3 linked regions of the Sus scrofa genome follow. The protein of the gene in region 3 binds, or shares a complex with, the protein of the main gene of each other region. Links are inferred from orthologs where the notes say so. Each region holds a gene or a part of one and is shown on either strand. Other genes may lie near its edges. The genes, in order: CFD, CFP and CFB.

Evidence for each region.
Region 1: the proteins of CFB (region 3) and CFD are in contact, whole or in part, in a crystal structure (PDB 2XWB), measured with the Homo sapiens proteins. The link is inferred for Sus scrofa from reciprocal best matches to the Homo sapiens genes CFB and CFD. Residues at the interface, in NP_001701.2 of Homo sapiens: Glu298, Ala301, Ser302, Ala332, Asp333, Ile469, Asp470, Glu471, Ser472, Glu518, Tyr519, Lys585, Asp758, Glu759, Asp760; in NP_001919.2 of Homo sapiens: Asn157, His158, Ala159, Gly160, Arg161, Arg162, Arg182, Thr183, Asp186, Arg200, Val228, Cys229, Gly230, Asn231, Arg232, Lys233.
Region 2: the proteins of CFB (region 3) and CFP are in contact, whole or in part, in a crystal structure (PDB 7NOZ), measured with the Homo sapiens proteins. The link is inferred for Sus scrofa from reciprocal best matches to the Homo sapiens genes CFB and CFP. Residues at the interface, in NP_001701.2 of Homo sapiens: Glu54, Gln56, Ser78, Thr316, Tyr317, Leu349, Ser351, Met394; in NP_001138724.1 of Homo sapiens: Arg329, Arg330, Asn331, Lys333, Pro341, Met420, Val421.

Annotation. Positions count from the first base shown.
Region 1 is NC_010444.4:77,509,212-77,513,546, reverse strand, and holds CFD (complement factor D), read left to right. Parts: upstream 1-1,558; 5' UTR 1,559-1,825; coding exon 1,826-1,883; intron 1,884-2,391; coding exon 2,392-2,548; intron 2,549-2,634; coding exon 2,635-2,779; intron 2,780-2,861; coding exon 2,862-3,119; intron 3,120-3,525; coding exon 3,526-3,687; 3' UTR 3,688-3,755; downstream 3,756-4,335.
Region 2 is NC_010461.5:42,147,494-42,149,950, reverse strand, and holds part of CFP (properdin), read left to right. Parts: intron 1-328; coding exon 329-499; intron 500-637; coding exon 638-829; intron 830-1,028; coding exon 1,029-1,202; intron 1,203-1,452; coding exon 1,453-1,647; intron 1,648-1,809; coding exon 1,810-1,921; intron 1,922-2,457. UniProt on the Homo sapiens protein: A positive regulator of the alternate pathway (AP) of complement. It binds to and stabilizes the C3- and C5-convertase enzyme complexes. Inhibits CFI-CFH mediated degradation of Complement C3 beta chain (C3b).
Region 3 is NC_010449.5:24,036,950-24,041,040, reverse strand, and holds the end of CFB (complement factor B), read right to left. Parts: intron 3,835-4,091; coding exon 3,703-3,834; intron 3,430-3,702; coding exon 3,328-3,429; intron 3,225-3,327; coding exon 3,087-3,224; intron 2,599-3,086; coding exon 2,501-2,598; intron 2,365-2,500; coding exon 2,247-2,364; intron 2,041-2,246; coding exon 1,887-2,040; intron 1,779-1,886; coding exon 1,702-1,778; intron 1,494-1,701; coding exon 1,381-1,493; intron 1,275-1,380; coding exon 1,142-1,274; intron 1,063-1,141; coding exon 1,013-1,062; intron 719-1,012; coding exon 572-718; 3' UTR 518-571; downstream 1-517. Other genes in the region: NELFE (negative elongation factor E), read left to right, coding at 203-361.

The sequences.
Region 1 (4,335 bases), on a different chromosome or scaffold from region 3:
CACTATAGCAGGTGTTCATTCTGAGTCACAAGGATCATTCTGAATCTTTGCAATCTTCACTCATCTGTTTCTGGCTCCAGCCCCTAAAGTAGTTCTTATATAAGTGCCTTGTTTTACAGGCGAGGAAGTAGAGATGCAAAGAACTGTAAAGTCATGCTCCAGGGCCTGGGTTCGAGTCCCAGCTCTGTGACTTTGGGCAAATTGCTCACTGTTTCTCTGATTCTCAGTTCCCCATGGGGAAGACTGAGGCACTGTCTGGGGAGGACCCAATCAGGGGTTGGGGTCCAGGCCAGTCTCGGCCTCACTGGGTACGGAAACAATCCTTCCTCCACTTCCCCAACCTTTTGCCTTGGGACACCTCAGGGTCTTAACTAGTGCTGTTCCCTCTGCCTTCCAGCTTCTCCCTAAGGTTGTCCTCAGAACACCTCTCCCCACAAGGGCCAGCTGCTCAGGCAGGTGACCCACTGCCCTACAACTGCTTTTTCCACTTAATACGATATCTTGGCGGTCTTTCCATGTCAACAAAGCATCCCAGGATCTGCAGGGTTATTTACTGAACCATTCTGTCTTTTTGGGTAATTTCCAAATTTTGCTGCAATTTCCAATCCTTTTACTTACATAATCTGCACTCCACATTCCAATGGGCTTTTGTTTTAGAGTTTCTGATTTGAGCAAGGAAACATTTTAGGGTCTAACAAATTGCATTTGTTATGCTGTTTTCTATTTTTCTCTGTATGTGTGAAATGGTCCACCATGAAGAAAAAAGAAGGAAAGGAGAAAATACCATGCACTGTTCCTCCTGGGGACGTTCACGGTCCTCCCCACCCTTGTGGTTACACACAGCATCTCCCCCGAAGAGGTTCATGAGATGTTGACCCACCATCCCCAGCTTACAGAGAACCATGTGACCCAGGTTCTGCTCATCAGAACCTGCCAACCCACAATGGCTGCTTTAGGGGCATGAGATCCAAACTCAACCAATCAGAGGCCGCCTTGAGATGCTGGCTAGAGTGATGGGGAATTGGCAGAGGGAATAACTGGGCCATTGGTCTGAGTCTAGGGCCCCTGAGGCCACAACAGGGGAGACTGCTGAGGAGACAACCCATCAAGGAGGAAAAAAAGAAACAAAACATTGTTCAGGTGCCTGGATTAAGCTACACCTGAAGGTAGACCCATAAACTTTCCATTTAAATTTTCTTGTTGAAGGTTCCAGCCCCTTACACTCCATTTTTTTGTCACTTGTATGCAACAGTCTTTCCAGCTGTCCCTACTCATCAACAATATTCTACTTAAAGGGTGTCAAGCCCCAGAGTCACAGCAATGTGGACAAGGGCGTTGGATGACCTTCCCCCCCACCCGACCTCAGCTCCAAGTTGCAGGAGGAAGGGAAAGAAGGGAGGGGCAGAAAATGAGGAAGTGGGTTGTTTACAAACTGGGCTTGCTCTCCAGCTGCTGTTGCGAAACTCTGGGGCTGGAAGGGCACTCTGGGAGACTGGGCTGGGGGTCAGGGTGGGTGGGTGGGTGGGTCCATCCCTCTGCTCTGCCCACCGCCCATCCTGAGGGGCTCTTCCCACAGAATGACAGAGGTGGCAGGCAGGTCCAGCAGCCCATCTACTCTTGGTACAAAGTCTAGGGGAAGATAATCACAGCACTGTGGCGGGGGAAGTGGGGGGAGAGAAGGGCGTGGACGGCTTCCCTTTGTTCAGCTGGGCCACTGCCCACTTGGCAGATAGGACCTGTGGGAGCTCCCCCCCCACCCCGTTCCACCCTCATAAAAGAACCCCAGAGCCCTGCCCTGGGCCATTGTTGAGGCCACAGCAGCATCATGGCAGACCGCTCCGGGCACCTGGCAGCCCTGATCCTCCTCGGAGCAGCTGTATGTGGTGAGTGGACCCGGGACTGGGGTGCCAGCTGGGGGCCCCTAGCCTGCAGCGCAGTCAGCCATGGACCCCTCCGCTCAAGAGGATGGCCCTCCAGCCCCACTAGGTGGGCAGAGAGGGGGCAGGGTCCACATGAACAGAAGGCTCTGAAAACCAAGCAATTCTCAAAACTTTGAATCTAGTGAGTTCAGAGAGCCTCTGGTTCTACAACAGAAAGCCCAGGCTGGGAGCAAACGGCTGGCAGGATGTTGGGTCTGATCAGCCCCACTTGTCTGTGTCTATATTGAAGTTCTAGGGCCCAGTGTGTAGGTACGCGGAGTCTGCCCCAGACTGTCACTCCCCACCGCCCGGTCTGTCTTCTTCAGCATCCCTCCCTGGGCCCCCAGAGTTTGCAACTCTTTGGGGAGGATCCCAAGGAAGGAATTTCAGTCTGAGGGTGCCAGAGCCGCTCTCTTAGAGGGAATCTGAGGTCTGGGCTGCAGTCACCCTCACTCGGACCTGCATCCTCCAGTGGCACAGCCCCGTGGCCGGATCCTGGGTGGCCAGGAGGCCAAGTCCCACGAGAGACCCTACATGGCATCGGTGCAGGTGAACGGCAAGCACGTGTGCGGAGGCTTCCTGGTGTCTGAGCAGTGGGTGCTGAGTGCAGCACACTGCCTGGAGGACGTGTGAGTGGCCCAGGACCAAGAGCGGAATGGGGGAATTGGGTGTCGGGTGGGGACATGGCTCTGATGTGAGCCCACTCCACTTCCAGGGCCGAGGGGAAGCTGCAGGTTCTCCTGGGTGCGCACTCCCTGTCACAGCCCGAGCCCTCGAAGCGCCTGTACGACGTGCTCCGCGCCGTGCCCCACCCAGACAGCCAGCCTGACACCATCGACCATGATCTCCTCCTGCTGAAGGTCTGCTAAGTCTAGCCGCAGTCCCTCCAGCTGCACTGGGGGCTGCGCTGCCCCTAACGCTCGCTTCCGCCCCCACCCTCAGCTCTCCGAGAAGGCCGAGCTGGGCCCTGCCGTGCAGCCCCTTGCCTGGCAACGAGAGGACCACGAGGTTCCGGCAGGCACGCTCTGCGACGTGGCCGGCTGGGGAGTGGTCAGTCACACTGGCCGCCGGCCCGACCGTCTGCAGCACCTGCTCCTACCGGTGCTGGACCGCACCACCTGCAACCTGCGCACATACCACGATGGCACCATCACCGAGCGCATGATGTGCGCGGAGAGCAACCGTCGGGACAGCTGCAAGGTGCGAGGGCGGGAGGGCTGAGAGGGGGCGGGCATGTGGGGAGCTTAGAGAGTGGCCAGGCTCTACAGCGTGAGCGTGGCCTGAGAAGTGAGGGCTGGGTGGGCGTGGCAGAGTTGAGAGGGGAGGTGGGATCTGGGAGAGGGTGCAGATAAAGACAAAGCCAGGGCGGGCATGGAGAGGGCTAGGAATGGGGCAGGGTCGGAGGCGGGGGCTGCTGAACTCAGACAAAGGGCGGAGTAAAGCTTGAGGGGCAGAGCTGAAAGTTGGGAGGCGGCGCCTTGATGGGCTGGGCCTGGGAAGATTGCTGAGCGAGAGAGCCTGTTGGGGCTGTAGGGATGAGCGGAATTGCAGCAGGTTCAGGTTGAGCCTGGCCTGGACCCAGCTCTCAAGCCCCCGCCCCACGCAGGGCGACTCCGGAGGCCCGCTGGTGTGCGGGGGTGTGGCCGAGGGAGTGGTTACCTCAGGCTCCCGAGTCTGCGGCAACCGCAAGAAACCCGGCATCTACACGCGCTTGGCGAGCTACGTGGCCTGGATCGACGGAGTGATGGCTGACAGCGCAGCCGCCTAAGGAGGACCTAAGGGACAGGGCGGTGGTCACCAGGCTTAGCAATAAAGTCATCCATTCCTGCATCTGAACCTTTTATTATTATTTTTTTTAATGGCCACACCAGTGGCATATGGAAGTTCCCTAGCCAGGGACTAAATCCAAGCTGCAGCTGGCAACAACCCACTGAGCCAGGTATAGAACCTGCACCTCAGCAGTGACCCGAGTGGCTACAGTCAGATTCTTAACCCACTGCACCACAGCGGGAACTCCCCGACCACCTTCACTACTTTCACATTGCCTGTGGGAGCACACGAAGTGGACAGTCCAAAAGGACTGCGGAAAATAGCAAGTGAAACCTTTTTTTTTTTCCCCCAACCTTTTAGAGCCACACCTGTGGCATATGGAGGTTCCCAGGCTAGGGGTCGAATCAAAGCTACAGCTGCCAGACTACACCACAGCCACAGCAACGCAGGACCCAAGCCACATCTGCAACCTACACCTCAGCTCACAGCAATGCCTGGATCTGTAACCCACTGAGCAAAGCCAGGGAAAGAATCCGTAACCTCATGGTTCCTAGTCGGATTCATTACCACTGTGCCAGAACGGGAACTCCACAAACAAAAACCTTTACCTTGGTAGCAGTGGCAGGAGGTGACAGAAAGGCGTGCC
Region 2 (2,457 bases), on a different chromosome or scaffold from region 3:
ATTACCGCTGAGCCACGCTGGGAACTCCAGGATGTTTGGCTTTTATTCTGAGTGATGGAGTGATGTAGTGATGGCAGAGAAATGTGATCCGACTTGGGTTGTGGCAGGCCCCTCTTGCTGTTAGGAAGACAGACTGCACGTGTTGAGGAGTGAGGCCGGGGAACCAGTGTGAAAGCTACTGCAATCGTCCAGATGAGCAATGATGGATGGTGGGCCACGTGTGGCAGAAGATGTGGGGACAGGGTTAGCTGATATGGGACACACGAGGAAGCCCGGACCCTTGAATGGCACCACCACCTCCATCTTGTCGCCCTCTTCCCTCCCACAGAGATGGGCGGCTGGTCCAGTTGGGGGCCCTGGGCACCTTGCTCTGCCACCTGCTCCAGAGGGACCCGGACTCGTCGTCGGGCATGTGATCGCCCCACCCCCAAGTGTGGGGGCCACTGCCCAGGAGAGGCACAGGAATCAGAGGACTGTGACACCCAACAGGTCTGCCCCAGTGAGTGAGGGCAACCACAGAGCAATGATTCGGGCATGCGGGGTGGGTCCAGGAGTTACAGCAGGGAACTTCCAGGGTGGGAGGACTTCAGCATGCGTGACCACACTTGGCATCTCCCCATCCCCCACCCCATCACAGCACACGGGGCCTGGGCTGCTTGGGGTCCCTGGGGCCCCTGCCAAAGCACCTGCAAAGGTGGACCCAGCGAACCTGTGGAGAGACGAAAACGCACGTGCACAGCACCTGAGCCTTCCACGAAGCCTCCCGGGAATCCCTGCTCAGGGTCAGCCAATGACCAGCGGATGTGCAGCGGCTTGCCACCCTGCCCAGGTACTTGGGGATGAGGCCTCTGACCCTCTGCTCTTGACTGAAGCACAGATGCTCTACCATTTCAGGGGACAGAGATCTGAGACCATGTGACCATGTGACCATGGAGCTCTTTGTCTAGGGGAAATCTGCCTCAGGGGTCTAGGGGCTGAGGGGGGCAACGGAGGTGGCCTTTCCCCTCACTTCCATCCTCCACCAACAGTGGCTGGGGGCTGGGGGCCATGGGGCGCTGTGAGTCCCTGCCCTGTGACCTGCGGCCTGGGCCAGACCCGAGAACAACGGTCGTGTGATCACCCTGTGCCCCAGCACGGGGGCCCCTTCTGTGTCGGCGAAGCCTTTCGGACCCACATCTGCAACACGGCTGTGCCCTGCCCTGGTCAGCACCCCAAGATGCCTCATTTCCATGCCTAAGCCCTGCCCCCCATCTCTGCTGCCCAGTTCCTGCTATTAATACCTCATTCCTGCGTCTAATTTCTCCATTCCTGGCCCCAATGCCTTGGTTCCATCTCTGATCCCCCTTTCCCACGTCTGGTCATTCCCACTCCCACCCCAGCCCCCATTCCTTCCTCCAAGCCCTCTCGCTGGCTCCCTTCTTTGGTATGAGCCCAGCTGCCTCATCTCTGCAGTGGATGGAGAGTGGGGGCTCTGGGGAGAGTGGAGCAACTGCGTCCGCCGGGGCATAAAGCACATCAGCTGCCAGGAGATCCCAGGCCAGCAGACCCGCTCGAGGATCTGCAAAGGCCGCAAGTTTGACGGACGGCGATGTCTTGGGGAACAACAGGACATCCGGCACTGCTACAGCATCCAGCGCTGCCCCCTCAGTGAGTGGCCCCAGAGACTATGCTGTGGGGGTGGGGCAGCCCATGCCGGGGATACAGGCTTTCTGATTCTCTGCCTCGGACCCCGCGCATCCCTGCCGCCTCTCTGTCACCATCCCACTGAGACTTCCAATTCTGACTCGGGAACCCCTCCCCTCATTGCAGAGGAAGCCTCCTGGTCCGAGTGGAGTACCTGGGGGCTGTGCATACCTCCTTGTGGCCCCAGCCCTGTCCGCACCCGCCAGCGCCTCTGCCAGCCCAAGCTCCCCAATTTCCCGTGAGTGAGGGGGGCTGCATGCCTCGGAGGGGGTCATGATATGGATATGTCAGCATTCAGGGTTGGAGAGTCAGCTACCCCTAACCAGGGCTTCCACCACTGGATGCAAGGTGCCTGCCTCGCCAAGGGCCATCTCCTCGCTGCAGGAAGAGGGGAGAAACTAAAAAAGCTGAGGAAGTGGAGGTTGAAGGGAGAATCAGTAGGCTCCAGGCCCTTCACTCATTCACTCAGCCATTCTCCCATTCACTCCATTCTTCCTGTGTCCATTTGTTCTGCTACCTCAGTTACTCAAGCTTGGATTTGCTCTTTCAGTCCCTCAGTCATTCATGTCTCCATTCACCTTCTCATTCTCTCAGTCACCCATGCCCCGAGGCACTCTAAGGCCTTTTGGGCAACAGTTGCAGAGAAGCAGAACCCAGATCCCGTGTATTCCCCCAAGGGATCCAGGTACACAGGGCCCCGAGAAAAGGCCTCCGAGGAATGGTTGGTGTGTGGAAAAGGCACCGCCATCTCAATCTGGATCCAGGAAGCTGATT
Region 3 (4,091 bases):
GAGCACACCCTCCCCTGGGGCGATGGTTCCGAGCCACTGGCTAAGGAGGCTGATGGTAGAAAGGCCGTCCTGCCGCCAGAGGGCAGCATGGCAACTGGGCTTCCAAGAGCCAGAGGCCAGGAGTGGAGGTGGTCAAACACTGGGCCTCAGGTCTCCTCAGTGCCCTCCTTCAGACCCTAATGCGTCTTTCCTCCCTCCCTAGCTGTCCAGAATAGCCCTAAGGGTTGCCACCGGGACAAGAGGACTCAGATTGTCTACAGTGATGACGTCTACAAGGAAAACCTTGTGGACGGCTTCTAGGGAATGGAGCTGGATTCCGTGTGCCTCACCTGCCCCAACGCTGGTCTCAGTAAAACACTGAGGTGGAAGCTCACACATCTCCCTCAGCCTCTGGTTTTTCAGCCCTTGGGATTGGGGTCGAGCCTTTAAAAACGGCTGTTAGATTTGATCTCAGTTGTAACAACATGGCCAGTGCACGCTCCCCGTTCCTTTACCCCAAAAGGATCTTGAACACAGGTGTTGTCGCAGCTGTTTTAATTTGATCTCATGTCCCTTTCCAGCAGGAAACCCCTTAGAGAAAACCCAGATCCTCATCTTTGAGTTTCTCCTTGAGCCAGGGCAGCACTTTGTAGAGGTTGATGTGAAAGTCTCGGGCGTAAGAGGGTGCCTGCTGCTGCCGCTTGCAGATATCCACGACGCCCCAGCTGATCACGCCAACCTGGAGAGGGCGAGGGGGTGCCGGGAATCCTTTGGTAGAATTCCTTCTGAATCCCAGGAGGCACAGCTCCTCCCCCTTGCATCCGAGCTGACCCCAGAGGATTAGAGTAGGAGCCAGCTCCGTCCTGTCCCCTGGCACACAGCCCAGACATGCAGCCCTGAGTTGGCCAGTTCAAGAGGAGCCTGAAGGTCAGGCAGGCTCCACCCTCCCCTTTGCAGCCACAGTGAGTGGTCCCGCCTTGGAGCCTAGGCTGACTGCTTGGTCCCTCCCACAGAGAGGAAAGGGGAGACTCACTTGAATAAAGCGGCTCTTCTTATGAATAATCAGGGGGCCCCCTGAGTCACCTGCAGGAGAGGAGAAGCTGTAGGGAAAAGACCCTCAGGCCTTGGGAACTTAGAGCACAACCAGAGAGCCTTCTCTCACCTTTGCAAGTGTTGGGGTCAGCATAGGGAATCACCCCGCCAGTGCAAAGGAACCTGGGGGTGACCACCTCAGAGACGACTTTGACCTTTTCATAGCCTTGGGCTTGTAGAGCATCTCTCTCACAGGCAGCTTTCTGTAGGTGAGGGGGGGGACACCCAGAGGAGAAAGGGGTGATGAACAAAGCTTGCTTAGGAAGCTCGGGAGCCTGAAGGACAGCCTCTGGATCCCCCGTTCCTCACCCTTTCCCCATTCTTGATGTAAACCTCCTTCCGAGTCAGTATCTTCCTGTGATCCTTGGTCAGCTCTGACACAAACAGGGCTTTGACATCCTTTGCAGGCAGCAGCTCTTGCACTGGACAGGTGGACAGACTGGGTCGTTTCATCACGCTCCCTCCCCCCAGCACCTGTCCGTTATCTTTATCACTCAGCAGATGTCCCTCAACCCCGGCCCAGCAGCTGGAGAGGGCTGGGCGTCATCTGTTCTTCCTGCCGCTCCCTCTCCCGCCTCCCTTGTCTCTTGGGATCTCACCCTCATGCTCTTGTCCCCGAAGGCATCTTACTCTGTTGCTGGCACGTGGTTGTCAGAGGAAGCCTCAGAGCTTGATTTGATCCCTCAGTGCAGGGGAGACAAATGGGCCTGGTGAGGAGGGATGGGGGGATTCAGGGATGGTGACCTCCGGGCCTGCCCCAGTCTTTCGGCCTCACCTTTCGCAGGCTTTTCTCCCTGGGGAGCCAGATGGCTCACCTGATGGTCTGGTCATACTTCAGCTTTTTCGAGAGCCTGATCAGGGCCACGTCATAGTCATAAAATTCAGGAATATCTTTTGCGGTCTTTGCGTTGAGGTCATAGTTTGGGTGAAATAAGACTTGGTCTATCTCCCACTCCTGCTTCTTCCCTCCTGAAGTACCAGAGCAAGAACAGTTACCTCTAGACCATGCGCTTCACTGTGGGCAGCCTCCACGTCACCCCTCACTCAAGTCTCCCTACCCCTCACTGGTCCAGCCCGCGAGGGAGCAGACAGGTGGAGTGTAGGCTCGTGAGGAAGTGGGAGGTGTCACCCAGAGGACGTGGCTGAGGCTCAGGATTGGTTGGTTGCATCCTTACCCAGGCTGACCTTGATGGAGTGTTTCTCGTCATCCACAGTGAAACAGTGTGCAGCTGTCAGCACAAAGTACTCAGACACCACGGCACCCATACAGCTCTCATGGCCCTTTGAAGGGCGCTGGGAACAGAGCGGCAGGAGGGGAAGCTTGGCTTTCGCAAACGCCACAATCTAATATCAACAGTCTGCTCTTCCTCTTTCCTTTCACCTTGACCTCACCAGCCACAAGTCCCCACTCTCAGGACACTGCACTTACAGTGATTGAGATCTTGGCATGCCACGGCTGCTTGTGGTAGTCAGTACCGTCCTTGTGCTCCCAAACCATGCCACAGAGACCCAGACTCCGGCTTTCATCTGGCAAAAAAAGGACTGCGCTGAAAGCTGGGACACTTCGTTTCCAGGTGGCAGCAGCCTTTTGGGGAGGGACACCCACAGGGCCACAGAGAACAGGCGTACAGGAGGAAAAGGAAGGTGGGGGCACTCGTTTCCTTACGCTGAGGGCAGGGACGGACCCTCTAGGGTAGCATGAGAGGACCTGGGGGCTGAGATTAGAGACATGGCTGTTTTCAGACCTAGCTCTCGCTGATCTGTCGTTCCTTGACCTCTCTTGGCCCCAGTTTCCACATCTGTACAACGAGGGACTTGAGAAAAGATCATCATCTTTCAGAGCTCTGTGGTTCTAAGGGCAGGGTGTGGACAGTGCCAGGAAGCAAGAATAATAACTGAGGTCGAGAGAGGCCTTCGGGACGGCCAGAGCTTTGGGAGGAGTGGGAGAGTATGGGGGGCCTGGGGAGAGCTGAGGCTCCTAACTGTCTCCTTGTATCCTCCTGATAGCTTCCTACCAAGCATTTGGAAGAAAACATCCTCCAGGTTATCTACGTCCTTGAGTTTGAACACGTGTTGTTCCTTGTCCTTCTTGGAAGCCAAAGCATTGATGTTCTCTTGGTTCACCAGAGGCCCAACCCCAAACACGTAGATGTCTGAGGGAGAAAAGGGGCGAGTGAGGGTCCAGGCCCTCGGGGTGGGGGTGGGGGAGTCGGAACTGAGGAGGCAGGCTTCTGGGTCCTGGGCGGTCACACTCACCCAGATAATCCTCCCTTGGGTTTTTGCGATTTCTACCAATGTTCAGCAGGTCCCGAATATCATGAATGACCGTGACCGGATCCCCGCCCATGTTGTGCAAGCCTGCAGGAGAGGCAGGGACCATGAAGGAAGGAGACGAGGAAGGATGAGGCTCAAGAAAGACAAAATGGCTAGACAGAGTGACACTTGGGGCTGAGTGAGCAGGCTGGGGGGAGACGTGTCCCTCCTTGTAAAGCTTCACGGGAAAGGTTGACAAGGTCGGGGCTCTGAGCAGCACTTGGGGCCCCAACCATGAGTCCAGCTTTACACATGGCCTTCAGGGCCCCGCAGTGGTTTGAGAGCTTGGGGTGTCAGGCAGGAGAGGGGGCCCTCTACCATCAGTCAGGAGGACAATGACATGGCGGGTGCGGTTCCAGTTATCAGGAAAGTTGTTCACTCCCCAGCTCATCATGTTGTATACTTCCAGGAGCGCCTTCTTGGTGTTAGTCCCTGCCTTCAACTTGTGGTCTGTGGAAAGGGAAGACATCATCACGTCACTGATCGTCCAAGCCATCCTTGACCCCAGAGGCCTCTCAGCGGCTGATAGGCCACATCTTGCAACTTTCTGAGTTAACTGTCACCCCCGTTGACTTTCCTCTGACAACAGTGACCCTCTCAGTTCCAACAGGTTCCCACCAACCCCTGTTCCGCAATGACCCCACCATCCAACCATGGATTAAAAAGTCGTCCTCCCCGCCCCACCGCATCCTCTCACTACCCCTTCC